Linked DNA regions of Saccharomyces cerevisiae S288C. Changing the gene in region 3 together with the main gene of any one other region gives a genetic interaction. Each region holds a gene or a part of one and is shown on either strand. Other genes may lie near its edges.

What was found.
Region 1: mutations in SRF1 (region 3) and RSM7 together harm fitness more than expected from each alone (negative genetic interaction), as found in Saccharomyces cerevisiae (2 studies listed by BioGRID).
Region 2: mutations in SRF1 (region 3) and YNL134C together harm fitness more than expected from each alone (negative genetic interaction), as found in Saccharomyces cerevisiae (one large-scale study listed by BioGRID).
Region 4: mutations in SRF1 (region 3) and SNF11 together harm fitness more than expected from each alone (negative genetic interaction), as found in Saccharomyces cerevisiae (one large-scale study listed by BioGRID).

The regions. Positions count from the first base shown.
Region 1 is NC_001142.9:637,696-640,916, forward strand, and holds RSM7 (mitochondrial 37S ribosomal protein uS7m RSM7), read right to left. Parts: upstream 1,281-3,221; coding exon 537-1,280; downstream 1-536. Other genes in the region: YJR112W-A (uncharacterized protein), read left to right, coding at 95-114, 164-473; YJR115W (uncharacterized protein), read left to right, coding at 2,247-2,756; TDA4 (Tda4p), read left to right, coding at 3,130-3,221.
Region 2 is NC_001146.8:371,916-376,473, forward strand, and holds YNL134C (uncharacterized protein), read right to left. Parts: upstream 1,667-4,558; coding exon 536-1,666; downstream 1-535. Other genes in the region: peptidylprolyl isomerase FPR1, read right to left, coding at 1-311; FYV6 (Fyv6p), read right to left, coding at 2,256-2,777; ribosome biosynthesis protein KRE33, read left to right, coding at 3,406-4,558.
Region 3 is NC_001136.10:220,267-225,063, reverse strand, and holds SRF1 (phospholipase D regulator), read right to left. Parts: upstream 2,638-4,797; coding exon 1,324-2,637; downstream 1-1,323. Other genes in the region: cullin CDC53, read right to left, coding at 1-760; 60S ribosomal protein eL41 RPL41B, read left to right, coding at 3,263-3,340; phosphoprotein phosphatase 2A catalytic subunit PPH21, read left to right, coding at 4,293-4,797. UniProt on the Saccharomyces cerevisiae protein: Regulator of phospholipase D (SPO14) which is required for SPO14 catalytic activity in mitotic cells. Essential to buffer the toxic effects of C16:0 platelet activating factor.
Region 4 is NC_001136.10:589,725-593,810, reverse strand, and holds SNF11 (Snf11p), read right to left. Parts: upstream 1,373-4,086; coding exon 863-1,372; downstream 1-862. Other genes in the region: IPT1 (inositolphosphotransferase), read left to right, coding at 2,467-4,050. UniProt on the Saccharomyces cerevisiae protein: Involved in transcriptional activation. Component of the SWI/SNF complex, an ATP-dependent chromatin remodeling complex, which is required for the positive and negative regulation of gene expression of a large number of genes.

The DNA.
Region 1 (3,221 bases), on a different chromosome or scaffold from region 3:
AGGCGAAAAGCGAGGCGACATACTTCTTTTCACATCAACTCGAACAGAGAAAAAAGTAGACATAGAAAGAACCCAAAGACCACAAGAGCAAACAATGGTACAGCTGAGAAGAACGTATGTATATATGTTCGTGGTAAGCTCGTTGGTATGCACGTATCTTAGGCATCACTACCAACAAAGTGTTTCAAGCGATCACGTCGACTAACGACAAAGTTGCTCACTTTGTCGTGTTCATGTGGGAGTCGTGGCTGTTTGTAAAGATGTTTGCTGAGGACATCGTGACTTTCCGCAAGCTACAGGCCAACAAGTACGTGTTAGGGGTGCTGATCTGTTCATTATGCGCAAGTGTAACGAGTGAATTCGCCCAAAGCGTGGTTTCGCGGGGACAAAGGGTGTTCGATGTGAAGGATATTATTTGTAATTTCTGGGGCAGTCTGCTTGGTGTGGGCATTGCCTTCTACCAGGACCGATAAAAAGAGATTATACGGAAAATCATATAAATGTGTTTATGTACAGGCAAGTTTACGTAGACTAGATTACTTTAATTGAATATATGCTCTGTGAGCAATGGCTGTCTTGTGAATCTGGTCCCTCTTTTCAAAGGCAGACGAAGTGCCTTTGGCAATGGCAGTGAGTTCTTCTCCCAAACGCACGGCGAAGTCGCTCGACACTCTTTGGTTTGCGCTTTGTACGATCCAGTTCCACGCGATCCTATTTCTTTGCCTCTTGTTCAGAGGCACAGGAATGACAGAAGCCTTGGCCACGCCTGTGTTGAATGTCTTGGTCATCATCAGCGGAGCTAGTTCGTCGAGTGACTTTTCCAAAGCCTGGATGGGGTCCTGCCGGGTCTGGCAGTACACCAGATATAAGGCCCTGGACAGAATGGTTTGTGCCTTTTCCTTCTTACCGTGGCGCATGATCATGTTTGTGATGTGATCCAGCGTTGCGTTCTTGCGTGGAGGAATGGGCACGGACTTCAGTGCCTCCCATTGTGCCAACTGCTCTGCAGTTGGCTTTATCTTGGAGCCCGCCTGTGAACCCTGTAAGAGGTCTACTTTGGACTGGCCCGGTGGAGCCAGCGAGGTCTCTGGCAGGTATTCTTTTGCAGAGAACTCTTCCCTTAGCTCGTTGATCGCTTCAAGCCACTCGTCGACCCCTTTCTCTGCCGATGGTTCGCTAGCTGGTGTTCGTACTGACGACTGGAAACGAGCAACACATGTCCCACTTTGCCACAGGAGACGTGGCCTGACTAACATATACCTCCTCGCACAATGCAGCATTATATTCACCTCAGATCCGTATCTATCTATTTTTCTTCTGAAAACGATAGCTGCTGTCTTTTCTGTACGTGTATAATGTGCATTGTATGTAGTAAGCTATTTCTCAAGCAAATGTAGATTGGAGCCAAGACGAACATTTAAAGCCGTATAGAACTACTTTGTTTCTTCTTCAGATGATCATTTCTCATATATGGTCACGTGGCTCGATGTTTATCGCTTTATCTTTTTTTTTTTTTTTTTTTTTGCTTTTCATTTTGGCTCTGCTCTCTGTATTAGCTCATCATTTAACGCAAATGACCACGAGACAATAAACCGACGAGGAATGTGCTCATATGTCTCGCCAATACCTCTAAATAATTGACCGCGCGATTATTTAGTGTGACCAGAGCAAAGTAGCTTTGCGTCCGACCATGCAACCATGGATATACTCAAAAATGGCAATAGTGTGCCCCTAATACGTTTGCTGGCCAGTATCCCTTTCTGAAATAAGCTAAACCCTTGCAACCACCAGGGGTGCCGCCGTCCTAACTTTCCAGCCTGGCAGCGCGTCGAGTCGCCGAATGTTGCGGGCGCTGCCCCGCCCGCAACACCGCGCCCGCCCTGCCTCAGCTTAACCGAAACCACACGGGTCTGCCATCTTCCATATACCCTGGCTCTTCTTTCACAATGCCCGCTCACAACGCCAACTGCAAAAGAAGCCCGCCCTTAGTCGGTTTTCCCCACTTTGATATAACCCCCCCCCCCCCCCCCCCGCATCAACTGGTAATTTAACCCAAACACCACGGGGTCATAATTTAAAAGCGAAAAACCTTAAAGCGTTCTCGAAGAAATCTTCCTGTAGATGATGTCGTAGCAAACTTATCTTTTAGAGTGTTTGTGCTTACTGCATTGTCAGATCAAAATTTACGTAGCCGCCCTTTTCAACCCCTGTCGAAGAGTAGCATAACAGCAGCGTAGTGAACGTGCATGTTCACAAATACACGTACAATATTAATATACAATAGTAAGGTGATGAACACACACACACACACACACACACACACACACACACACATATATATATATACAGGAGATCAAGTTAGTGTGAGGGGACGACTACTGAGTTTGAAGTTCTTTAAAGTGTTAAAGTTATTTTTCCCCTCTCCCACCTCGTTGGCAACCTCTCACCCACCGCTTAGCAGCATGTCTCCGTACATGACCATACCTCAGCAATACTTATACATAAGCAAGATACGTTCCAAGCTGTCTCAGTGCGCCCTTACTCGACACCACCACAGAGAACTTGATCTACGAAAAATGGTGGGCCACGCCAATATGCTGGACAGGATCCTCGACGAAATAGACGAAATCGACAGCGAGGTAGTACTGTGTGACGCTGCCGATGGTTCTTCTACTGCAGAAGCTCATTCCGCTTCCCCAGCATCCAGCGACTCTTCTCCTCTCACTAATAACATCCGGCCCATTAGCATTATGTGATTAGCATGCATTTTCCCCTTTTCCTTTCTTAAGAACATTTTTACGACGCGGATCTGCCCGTCATCGCATACGAATGTTGAATCACGCCAGAATCACCAAAGAAAAAAACTCGTTCAGTTCCTAGGTTTTATGAGCCAGGAACAATAGACTTTTATCGCATATTATTTCTATACGTGCACTTATATATGCACACATATGTTTATATACATATACATACATACGTGTTTCTTTTCAGCCTGTGTTTTTGTCGGGTCCAAAAACATACAAGGCAACATAATATTTTGACATAACTCAACGCAACATAACAGTATAAAACATAGTTTAATAAAAGAGAAAAAAAAAACAATATTTTTAAGCTATCGCTCTTGCCGCAATGAACGCCAACTCTACCACGACAGCAATCGGCCTCACCAGCCCCTTCGAAAAGCTGTCCTTCTTCCCTCATTCGTCTAATTTAATACTGGC
Region 2 (4,558 bases), on a different chromosome or scaffold from region 3:
AAAGTACTGTTTGGTGGAATCAAACCTGGGAAACCACGTGGGCCATAAGCATATGGGCCAGGGATGGTTAACCTAGCTTTTTCACCAACAGACAACTTTGGAATACCAACATCCCAACCCTTGATGACTTGGCCGACACCGATGTTACATTGGAATGGAGAGCCCCTGTCAACGGAGGAATCGAATTTTTGGCCGTTCTCCAAGGTACCGGTGTAATGAATGGTAACCAAGTCACCTGTCTTTGGGAAGGTGGCACCATCACCTGGGGAAATTCTGTCAATTTTGACGTTACCTTCAATTACTTCAGACATTATTACTTGTTTTGATTGATTTTTTGCTTATACTCGAGTTTAGGTGAAAGGCCTTACTTTAAGCTTTCACGAGTTTATCCACCAAATTCTTTCAACGACGTCTCTCTTCCGGCAATTTTTTTTGCCCGAAAAAGACTAAGGCGGGTGAGGGGAATTGAACGGCACTATAATGTGGAGGTAAACAGAATGATCAAGCGCTATATACATAAGTAGCTATAGATTATTTATTTCAAGACGGCAACCAACTTTTCGCCAGAATTCCTCCCGTGCTTAATATCATCAAGTAACTGTGGGATATCATCTAACCCGTTCTTGTAAACTTTCACTGGGATGTGGTGGATTTCACCATCATTGATTTTTGGATTGATGAACTTAATAAATTTTATGGCGGCTTCCTTGTATTCAGGGTCTGCTGGCAAAGTAAACGTGCCAAATGGGACGTCGTTACCTCCTATCAAATATAGAAGGGTTCCTTCAATACTGACGTTTTGCCTCCTGTCTTCCTCCTTGATATCTTTTTCGGTTAAAACGGTCAATTGAACGACCGTAGCGTCTAAGTCATCAGCGGCACATTTGTACACCTGTTGAATAGTTTCTGTGTTGGAGACACAGTCCACCAAGTAAGGAATGTTGTTGTACTTCTTTTTTATCTGTTCGATAACGTCAGCATCGTGGTAGTCAAAAAGTTCATCTGCACCGTACTCTTTCAACAATTTTTCATGTTTACGAGAAGCAACGACGATGATCTTGCTGAAACCGTTTAGTTTTTTTGCCAATTGAATAAGCATCTGGCCAACAGCAGTGGCACCACCCCAAAATAAGATGGGTTGATCTCTTTGCGCTTTGGAGGGCTTCCATGTCATGTCCAAGCCAAAACTATGTGTAAGGATCATACCAGCCGTGGTCAATGAGACTGGGAGGGATACTGCCCCTTCTAAAGATTTTACGGGGCCTTCTGGTAGCTTGTCTTTACCGCACAATCTAAACTCTCTGGCTGGTTTATAAGCAGTCTCGGATGAAATGGCAGAGTACTCAGCAAAGGCACCGTTTGAGGGGAACCTCACTGAAGCACCGTGAATAACCCCATAAATGTAATCACCAATGGCAAAGCGTGCAGCATCAACATTTGGGCCCAACTTTACGATTTGGCCGGCTGCATCACAGCCTAAGAGGGCACCTTGAGGACCAATCTTGAAATCAATATGTTTCCAATCGGTAGGGTTACCGGCAACGGCGACAGTCTTAATTAGAACAAATCCTTCTTCTAATTCAGGAATTGGAATGTCCTGTTTGACTACAGCCTTGCCATTTTCAATGACAACGGCTTTCATGGTTTCTGGAATCGAGGCGGACATGCTTGATATGCAGTATGATATTGCTTTTTGCTGTGTATAGTTAACGATTTTTTTTCAACTAGAATTACAGTACTAATCAAGAAGTGAGAGGAAGAAAACGGCAAAAAAAAAACTCTCTCCTTTTAAATCGAAGCATTGCCGAAATACCTTAAAAACGGTCTTAAATCCTTAACATCTGTCCTTACTAATCGATGCCAATCCAACGGAGGGAGCCCATATGCTAGGTACTAAGAGTACGCAGGGGCGGAACCGCGCGACAACCGTAAGCGGATCCGAGGAACTTTAGTCAGCAGGGGCTGTGATGACCATTAAAAAATTGCGGACACAGGTAGTGGAACGAGCAATCAATGTGATCAATTTGCCATTTCATTCCACGAAATGGTTTCCATTCTAAGCATGAATGCTTTGACGTTACGGGTGTTGGTTATTTCGGTTCTTTTTATTGCTTCCGTGGGCACGTACGAGAAGGGAAGATGAATAGAAAAAGAGTTTCCGAGTTTTGTATGTCCAATGTTTACATAATTTATATAACTTGAAGTTTAATCTTGGCATAAAGCTCTAGTTGTGACGAAGTGTGTAGGCCATCACATCAGTTCTCCAGTTTTCTACCCAATTTTTTTATGGATACCTTGATTTTTGGTTTAGGGCTGGATGTCTTTACGCCCTTTATTTGTGTTTTACTGCCCAAACTAGTGCCGGTCTCTAAATATTTTTCTGTATTAGTAGTAGAATCGTTCTCCATTAGTAATGCTTTTTTTTTCTTTTCAAAATTGATTGCCTTGACGTCTAAGTAGTTATTCAGTTCTTTTTCCTTTTTTAGCAACTCATTCTTGCTCTTCTGGTAAAATTCCAGGTCCTCTTTACTCAACCTAGTAAAACTTTCACGGTCTCTCACCAAACCGTTATATTGTTTTTGTTTACTAATAGCATTAGACCTAAGCTGATCTCGCAGGGACTTCCTGGTTTTCCTTTTATATTCCGCTTCATATTTTTTTTGCTCCACTTGCTCTCGTATCCTCTGGGCCTCTACATTACCAACTCCTTCTGACACGAATTTCAGTGGTTTTTTCTCTCTTGCACTATTAGCATTATTATCACTGGTAGATGACATGATGATATAACAGAGCCCACAGTCTTTTGTTGGAACCGCTTTCTCTAGGCTTCGATGGACTTACATCTAATTGCACATTCTCGTGCGTTTAAACGTCATTTTTCCCTCAGATTGGCAGTGCATCAAAAGTAATTCCTAGGGACGACAAAAAGGCGGAAAAGGTTTCAGAAAAATAAGCGGACTTAGCTCAGTTGGGAGAGCGCCAGACTGAAGAAAAACTTCGGTCAAGTCATCTGGAGGTCCTGTGTTCGATCCACAGAGTTCGCAATTTGAAAAATTTTTTTTAATGATTACGCATGTGGATGTGTTCAGTATCAACCGATGCTCGCTTTTCCAATCAAATGATACAAGCCAGACCGAACATTGCATGTTTTCCATTGTAACTTCCCAGGTATATCTGAATTAGTTGTAAAAAGTAATAGTTTACCCGGAATCGTGTGAAAAATTTTGAAAAAAAAAAATGAAGAGCCAAGATACAATGAGATGAGATGAGGTGCTGAAGATGCATGGAGATTCTGTATTTATCTCAAATAAAGTACGCAATAGAGTATATAAGCCAAGTCACCTTTTATATTTCTTAGTTTTTAACTTGCAAAGACTTATAAGAGACTTATAAAACAAGGAGAAAATGGCCAAAAAAGCTATCGATTCAAGAATCCCGTCACTGATCAGGAATGGTGTTCAAACCAAACAAAGGTCCATATTTGTCATCGTTGGGGACAGGGCACGTAACCAGCTCCCAAATTTACATTATTTGATGATGAGTGCTGACCTTAAGATGAACAAGTCCGTCTTATGGGCTTATAAGAAGAAGCTTCTAGGATTCACTTCGCACAGAAAAAAAAGAGAGAATAAAATTAAGAAAGAAATTAAAAGAGGTACAAGGGAAGTGAATGAAATGGACCCTTTTGAATCTTTTATCTCTAACCAAAATATCAGATATGTATACTACAAAGAGAGTGAGAAAATATTGGGTAATACCTATGGTATGTGTATTCTTCAGGACTTCGAGGCATTAACCCCAAATCTTTTAGCAAGAACCATTGAAACTGTAGAAGGTGGTGGTATTGTGGTTATTTTATTGAAATCAATGTCATCGTTAAAGCAACTGTACACCATGACTATGGATGTTCACGCCCGTTATCGTACTGAGGCTCATGGTGACGTTGTTGCAAGATTTAACGAAAGATTCATACTTTCTTTAGGTTCAAATCCAAACTGTTTAGTCGTTGATGATGAATTAAATGTTCTACCGCTATCTGGTGCCAAAAACGTGAAACCACTACCTCCTAAGGAAGATGACGAATTGCCTCCAAAGCAATTAGAGTTGCAAGAATTAAAAGAATCCTTAGAAGATGTCCAACCAGCTGGTTCATTGGTTTCTCTATCCAAAACTGTCAATCAAGCCCACGCTATTCTTTCTTTCATTGATGCCATTTCGGAAAAAACTTTGAATTTCACAGTTGCACTAACAGCTGGAAGAGGTAGAGGTAAGTCTGCTGCTTTAGGTATTTCTATTGCCGCGGCCGTTTCTCACGGGTATTCTAATATTTTTGTTACTTCTCCATCTCCCGAAAATTTAAAGACTCTATTTGAGTTTATTTTCAAAGGATTCGATGCCTTAGGTTACCAAGAACACATTGATTATGATATCATTCAATCTACGAACCCCGACTTCAACAAAGCCATTGTGAGAGTTGATATTAAAAGAGATCACAGACAAACGATTCAATATATTGTTCCTCAAGACCATCAAGTTCTGGGCCAAGCTGAATTAGTTG
Region 3 (4,797 bases):
AAATATACTCAGTTACCGAGTGTTTCTCTAAATAATCGTTTGTATATTGCGTGTAGTACTCCTGAGTCTTCTTTAAAAATGGCTTTTCGAAAACTTGGATGTAGACATTTAGGTTCAACTTTTTCAAATCCTGTGGATCGATACCTAGTGCAACTAAAGACTTTATGGCAGTGCTAATATTACTTCTTTGAATTATTTGCCCCTCCCTTCCCAAGGTTACCTGGTCTAATAATTCGTTTATTAAAACATCTTTACTCGGATCAAACATGACTTCTTTCCATGTCATCAAGCACAAGGTGTTTACATCAAAAATATGCCTTTTGCCGTCACTTCTTTCCTTTTGAACCCAATATCTATTCATATAATCGAATGCATGGTTTAAAAAAATGGCACCTATTGTAAACCTTTTCCAGCGCTTGACGTAAAACTGCAAAAAGGTCTCTGAATTAGACTGCTTAAAATTTAAAATGTAATTCTTCAAATAATTCTTTAACTTTTCGTAAATCTCACTGCCAACCAAAATTGTTGATTGGCCAGTTCTACTGTCAGTACTAAAATGTCCAGACGAGCGTGATTTGTTCACACAGTAGTTATAAATTGCGGTATAGACTTCCATATACATGGTTGGAGAAAGAATTTTGTAAACTCGCTTAGACGTGGATGCTTGGTTTTTCTCATTACCCAGTATTTGGTTAATTCCTGGCTCTATAAAGTTCCAAGTGGCCTCTAAATCATCAGATCTAGGCAGAGTCTCAGACATGCTTTGCTGCTTGCGATTTTGTTGTTATTCTTTGTTTAGGTATATGTAAGAATCCTTTCAAGACTCAAAAATGTACGCTTATTTATCGGTAAGTAGAAGCAATGTCGAATTGCTAAAAGAAATGTGTAACTGAGGTAAAATGTAATCAACAATGAAAGGGGTGCACAGAAGTTAGAAGATGCGGATGAAAAGCTCTAAAAGAGAAAAAGGACAATATAAAAGAGCAGTGATATGAATCAATTGCGTTGTAAAGTGAAGTTCTGCTGGGGTACTTTACCTAATGCCCTAGTTTTTCTAGATGTTCTATTTGCCACATTTCACTTCATGTGTGTCCATCAAACATCGAAATGAAAAAGGGCCCTTAAAACGGAAAGGAAAAGAAAGTGCAATAGCCCTCCCTTCGGGTAATACATATTATATCGCACAAAGCCTAATATAATCAAACCCGCCGTTAATGAATAAATGCCAAGCCGGAGTAATTTTTTAAGTCAAAAATATACAATGCATATAAATGTCAATCTTGGTATCTAAAAGAATTCTTTTAATTTCTATATTTGTCGAGCTCAGTTTCTGTTGGTAATTGAACTGACTTTTTCGACTACTCTAACAATACTGATCGAGAAAGTGATTACCCACATAAACAAGGCAACGAACAGAAAAGCGGATAAAGCTTCCTGTTTTCTGCAGATACGCGGTATTTTTGGGTATCCATACGTGCTTCCATTTGACCTGCGAATAGAAGTGCAAACCCACTCTTTGTCGAAACGAGTATTAAATGCCAGCGCTAGATTAGCGCTTGAAAAAATTATAAAAAGTAAGTCCAACAAAATTAGTTTCAGTTTGCTTAACGGATTCCTCAAACCAACAGGTTTACCAGCAAATTCATCGTGTGCAATGTAAATAATATACGCAATCGCCACGGCGTTGACGCAGATGGCCATTATGGTGCTTGGTTGTTGCCCGATTTTACTTTCACTGATGGTGTTATTTGATCTTGAGTTTTGAAAAATCTTGATTGCCAGAGCAAGTGAAATGCACGATAATATACCAGTGAAAATCCTCAAACCCAAAATCAAATATTGATTATCAAGTAATAGCGACGTCAAAGGAGGTCTCCACTGTTGTAACTTCCTTTGCTTTAACCTCCGCCACTTTTCTCTCTCTTTATTGAGCTCATTTACCCAATCTGACTTGTAAACTTTGTTGTGTACTGATTCGGGTGATTCTGGGTTCTTCTTATTATCACCGTAATAGAAATCTTTTACCTTTTCGATATATTGTAACCACTCTTTTCTCTCTTCTGTCGTGTTGAACTCTAAATTGGCACCTATTTCTGAATGTAGAACACCTTCTAGTCGTTCTTCACCTCCCCACTCGCTGCACATGTCACCTAAAATTTCTCTAAGAGCCGCATTTTTTGATGAGGTAGATGATGATAGAGAGTAACCATCGTAGGATTTGTGACTAGGATTGTAGTTTTGGTCTCTAGTGTATGCAGAATGACAGCCGATGGTAGATGCAAACTGGCCCCATTTAAACTCTTTTGGAAGATTTTTATCATCGGTAACATTTCCATCAACGGTGCCCTTATCCTGAAGTCTTAATTTATCAAACTGCGCCTCTAAAACATAAGGCGGCACTGTGGTAGGCACAAACGTGTAAGTATTTAATTTTGGATAGTCTAGTGGTGAACCATCACTGTGTTTGGGAACATGTATCTTTGCATTCTGTAATGCTTCCAGTGAACCTGACTTCCTTACTGTTTGATTTTTTTCAAGATCCACGTTTAAATTAAGTTGATTTTGATCTGCGATTCTAGAAGCGTTCGTGGATGTTGTATCAGAATACGCTTCTTGGCTGGAATTAGAATCCCCCATTAAATTTGTCAGTGTAAAAAAAAAGAACGCCTCAAAAAATGCAAAAAAATATCATTCACTTTCCCTTCTCAGCAATCTCACGGTTTCGAAATAGCAATCAAAGTATTTTTATAATTGACTAAACAAAAGGTGGTTGGAGACTTTGTGTTGTAGCTTAGAATTTCTTCCACTATATGAAAGCCAAGACCTCTTCTCCTCTTTCGACACTTCGTTTATTTCCACTTTCCCTTATTTAGTATTCATCGTTCAGAATGCTTTCTTTATTTCACGACGGTTACCACACCCGTACACCCTTATCTCATTTCACCAGTACCTTTCCTTATTAGATTCATCTTATTTTATTTTAGGATTTTTAGGTCATTGTACGACGCGTGTCGCACCATGGAAAAGGTGTCGCAGCTGCGATGCTATCCATTTACCCGTCATCATTGCTGGCAGAAATCCCATCTTCCTCTGCTGGGGTGATTTATATATATGGAGAGTTAACGAATGTAATATTTCTGAATGTTAAATAATTGTTATCCGTCATTATTGTTTCACTTCTCTCTTTGAAATTTCGCTTGTTTTCTGTTTTCATCTTATATTTTACTTCAATCCTAAGATAGTCATATCGACTTAATTCCAAATGAGAGCTAAGTGGAGAAAGAAGAGAACTAGAAGACTTAAGAGAAAGAGACGGAAGGTGAGAGCCAGATCCAAATAAGCGGATTGAGAGCAAATCGTTAAGTTCAGGTCAAGTAAAAATTGATTTCGAAAACTAATTTCTCTTATACAATCCTTTGATTGGACCGTCATCCTTTCGAATATAAGATTTTGTTAAGAATATTTTAGACAGAGATCTACTTTATATTTAATATCTAGATATTACATAATTTCCTCTCTAATAAAATATCATTAATAAAATAAAAATGAAGCGATTTGATTTTGTGTTGTCAACTTAGTTTGCCGCTATGCCTCTTGGGTAATGCTATTATTGAATCGAAGGGCTTTATTATATTACCCTTTAGCTTATTCTGAGGTTTCTGTGGCGTGCAAAGTGATGAACCGGGCGGGTTTTAAGGATAAAATCAAAAAGTGAAAAAATGAACGGAAAATGGAATACCTGTGAAATGGAGAATGATAATGAATCTTTCTGTCGTGCTTGAAAGATTTTCGGCTATTTTAATCGACTAACACATAGTAGTAGAAATAGTTTTCCGGATTACATTAGTTCGGCATTCTTTTTAGCAGGTTTTTGTTACAGGTTCCTTTCGACGCACCGTTTCACAGTAAAGGAGGTAATTAGTGAATCAGACGCTGCACTTTCATTGATTTTGATATACACATACTCCAATTAGTTTTAGTGTAAATTAAATTGCCCCAGTGGACACGATATTTACAAAAAGTGTTTTATTCTTCTTAGAAATACACCTGTTGGACTGCTCTTTTTTCACTCGTCTTCCCCTAGTTTTCTTTCCTTACCAGTAATTTAGTAAGAGTTTAGTGAGTTCAGGTTGAATAGAGTTATTATCTAATTTTAAACTGTTAATTTTACCGGTTGTGTTTTTTGAAATAAGGCAAAAGAGAAAGAAAAAAACAAATTATTTTGCCCCTATTTAGTTCATAGTGGAAAGAGGGATATAAATTATCGCATAAAACAATAAACAAAAAGAAAAATGGATACAGATTTAGATGTGCCTATGCAAGATGCTGTTACCGAACAGCTGACTCCCACAGTATCTGAAGATATGGATCTCAACAACAATTCATCGGATAATAATGCAGAAGAATTCTCGGTTGATGATTTAAAACCTGGTTCCTCGGGCATAGCAGATCACAAATCTTCCAAACCACTAGAACTGAATAACACAAATATAAATCAGCTTGACCAATGGATTGAGCATTTGAGTAAATGCGAGCCACTATCAGAAGACGATGTAGCACGACTATGTAAAATGGCGGTGGACGTGTTGCAGTTCGAGGAGAATGTTAAACCAATTAACGTGCCTGTTACCATTTGTGGTGACGTACACGGTCAATTCCATGACTTGTTAGAACTTTTTAAGATTGGTGGCCCTTGTCCTGACACCAATTACCTTTTCATGGGTGATTACGTGGATAGAGGATATTATTCTGTTGAAACTGTATCTTACCTAGTTGCCATGAAAGTCAGATACCCAC
Region 4 (4,086 bases), 370 kb from region 3:
TCGTATTGAAGTGCTTTTCTTCTTCCTTAGATTAGACTGAAAAAGATGAAGGAAAAGCTGACTGAAAGATCTCCGAAAGTACACGGAAATTGATAGTATTTAAATGAATCAGCTGAGACTTCCAGGGATGTCCGAAAATGGGGGGTTAAAGGCGTATTGTCCCAAAGAAAATGAGAATCGAGATTGTCTCTCCTTGATCGTCATAGTAGGAGCGTAACTAACCCCTATAATCAGACCCTCGGCCGCTCCGTCTCACTGCCGATTTCCCTGTATGGCACCAAATTTTTTCTTTTACAAGTTCCTTACGTAGAGAACGAGAAGAGAATAGAAAGGAAGGGGTTGACCGTTGGAAGGAGGGGGTCCAGCGAGGCTAGACTAGGTTAGGCTAGGCCAGAAGAGAAGGAGGGGAGGGAAAAGTCAGAGAGTCAAAAGGAGAAGGGGCTACGCTCCAAATGGCGTAGAGTAAACTAGTAGATATTGAGATTAGGCTTCCGTTACCGACGTGCATGATGAAGATGACAATGCTTACTGCGACGATGACGAAGGTGGCTCTCGAAGAAGATAATAAGAAAGTAGTATTAATAGGGCTGGCAGTAAGATAACTACATCTGATGTCATAGATTTTAAAATACTAATATTATTATTTACGTTGGGTACATTACATACGATAAATTCATGCAGTTGTAGTACTTGAGTGATTGTTATTTGCCTTTCTTTTTCTGCTTTTCGTATTCTATTTTTCTTATGCTTCCTGTACTTGCTCTGCGGGTATGCAATCACACCTGTAGCTGAATGCAAAATTAAAATTGCAAAAGTAAAAAAAAAAAAACAAAATAAAAAAGGGAAGAGAAACAAAGTTATTCTACCATATCTCGAACACTCTTGCCAAGAGAAGATAGAGTTTAGAAAGAATATCCTGTGGAGGTTGCTGCTGGTTGGCTAGCTGAGGAGGCGTGAGGATCAGTGGTTTCGCTGAGGGCACTCCTTGGTTTATCTGAGATATGCATTGAAGATTGGCATGAACCCTTTTAAGGAACTGAGATATAAGTTGCTGTATCCTGATGATGTTATTGTTATTGCTATTATTTATATTGTTCTGTAGATTGTTTTGTAAACTATTATTCATCTGAATAACTCTAGCAAGTAATATGCTGTTGATATGCAATAGCAGTTGTACCTTATACTGTCTTTGCTCATCGACCGTGGGGAGGTTCAGCTCTGCAGTTGCATTTGCAGTTGCATTTGCAGTTGCATTTGCAGTTGCATTTGCATTTGCATTTGCATTTGTATTTACATCTACGCCAGCGCCAGTATTGCGGTTCTCGTTTTCAGTGTTGGTGTTCGTATTCGAGTAGGCAATTTCACTGCTCATTTTTCTGGGAAAAAAGGAAATCTGTGTGTTTTGCTTATATGCACATTGAATTTACACTCCCGATCGTGATGCGCTCTGAGCCCTGAATAGAGGGTATCATAAACGGCAATCTTACTACGACCCCACGTAATATGCTTTTATGGGAAGTCTGTTCTCCACTCCGTATATACTGTTAGGAGAAAAAAGGAAAAAAAATTTGCCCGAAAGTCGATTGTTACCCGGCAAAACAATCATCAAAAAAAAACAGGTAGAAGAAGGCTTGCTATAATTTGAACACTCTCTACCCTCCTGGCTGCTTTATCTACTTCTGTTGGCTTGAGAAACGTCATATCTATATATAGCGTAGATATGTTTATTCGCGTTTGCACTGGCCTTGAAGAAACGTGAAAAGAGGGTGGTTTCACCGCACAGCGGGGTTATCCTTGGTTACTCGTAAATGCCAATAATCCATCTTGAATAATTCCTATTCGAGACGCATGGGGAAATGCAAGGCAAGCTAACACGTAGTAGAATACCCTGCTGCACAGCGCCGTTGGGGTCTCAAGTGCAATTGCCGTTTTGCGCGGCGATAAACGGCTAAAGATTACTTCAGTTGGCCACGGCAGCTGCGCCCTTCCCGAGTGGATTACGCTCACGTGCTTTCCGCGGAACAAAAATGTGAACGCCACGGGAAAAAAGCATTATCCCCGCGCCGCTTCTTGACGCCTCTGATTGTGCTGATTGATTCCGCTTTTTTTTTTTACCGGCTTTTTTCTCCGCCTTCTTCGCCTCAATCGAGAGTTCTGGTGTAAATTCTCTTACGAAGTGCAAAGTTAGTAGGAAAGTAAAAAAAATAAGAAAAAGGAAAAATGCCTAGAAATGCAGACCTCCGGCCACAACATTTTTATATAATACATTCGAGCATCAAAAACCAGGAACAATAGAAGAGTAATCGCTACTTGTCAAATAAAAATAAAAAAAGGAAACCTAAGGCATAGTGTTTTCATAAGCATCGCTACTTTTTCATTGCCACCCTAACTGTTCCTTTATTTCACCGGTTGGACGTTATCATTTCTGCTAAGAATCACCTAAAGTCTTTCAACGTCTAAGAAAGCATGAATGTCATATTTTCTTTGGCGAGTTTCGTCAAAAACATGTATAATGCAAGTTTGAACCAACGTAATCTAATAAGCCTGCCGTTCAACTTCATGCTTAATTTTGCGCCAGTGTTTATTTGGCTGTCTATATTCAAGCGCGCTGGTCTGATACCCATAAGGCTCAGACCTGACATTCATAGCAAGTTTGCTTTTTTTGCTGATCAATTCCTCTTTGGGGACTATTGGCATGAACTTACTGTACAATTGCCCGATAATACTTCGAAGCTATTTTTCTGGTCATTCATATCATCTTCTGCATTTCTCTTAGTATTTCTGATATGTATTCCCTTTGCCATTTGGTACTACATCTATTACATTAAGCACGTTAACTATAATCTGTTAGAGTGGTTCGCAAATATTTTTCATTACCCCTGCAAGCGCAAGCAGCGGCCGATCCAAAAGAGATTTCGGACAATTTTCATACCGTTTGCCTTGCCCCTGTTTACATTTGTTATACTCAACATTGATCATTTCTTTGCTTACCAGTCGGATGCAAACTTTACTAAGACCAAGGATTTACTGGCTTGGTTCTCCTATGTCATCCTGCACTTGACAGCTCCAATTTTAACAGCTGTATACTTATACGTCTTCCAACCACCGGGGACTTTAAAATGCTTTAGTTTTGCCCTAGGATTACAAAATATAGCGGGGGTCCTTACCCATCTGCTTGTTCCAATGGCCTCCCCATGGTTTACTCATCTGTACGGTATTGATGACACCGAACATGTTAATTACACCCAGGAAGGGTTTGCTGCCGGTTTGATAAGAGTAGATAGCCATTTGGGTACTCATTTGAACACTAAAGGATTTCACATGTCTCCTATTGTGTTTGGTGCTGTTCCTTCACTACACTCCGCCATTGCATTTCAATGTTTCTTGTTTTTGGTTTCAAGGTCCACCAGCTTAAAACACAGATTTTCCAATGCTGGAGGTTTCACAATGCACAATAATGATTCTTCCACTTTCAAGTTGAGTGAGGAAGACAGCGAAGATGAAGGTGACAATAGCATACCGCCCACGATTGGCCCTAACGACTTAGAGATGGAACCATTGGGTACCGTTGAGCCTGTAGATATTTCAAATGAGCGGTCCTCCTCCCCTTCATCTTCATTCACCGTATCCAGTAATGAAAGAAGCACCGGCGGCGGCGACGGCAGCATTATTAACAGCAATGGCAATAAGAAACCTCTCCAGTTTGTCCATTTATATGATGAAGACACGAACTTCACAAACAAATGGATTTTTAAAATAGTCAACGATGGGTTTATACCAAAATTCTGGGCTATCCTATATATAATACTACAATGGTGGGCTACCATGTATCTGGACCACCATTATAGATTTGACCTTTTCGTTGGTGTTTTATATGCAATGACAAGTTTCATCATCATAAACTGGTTTGTTTTACAACCAAAAGTTTTAAAAAAGTGGATTCATATAAGGTTAGGCGACAAAGTGGATACAAGAAACGAAGCTCGCACTTTTGGCATGAGAGTATTTTGTGGCACCAAGATGGAATGGTTTTTTGATCCGCTTGCATAGACTATAGAATGTCATAATGTAATAAAAGTAATTTCG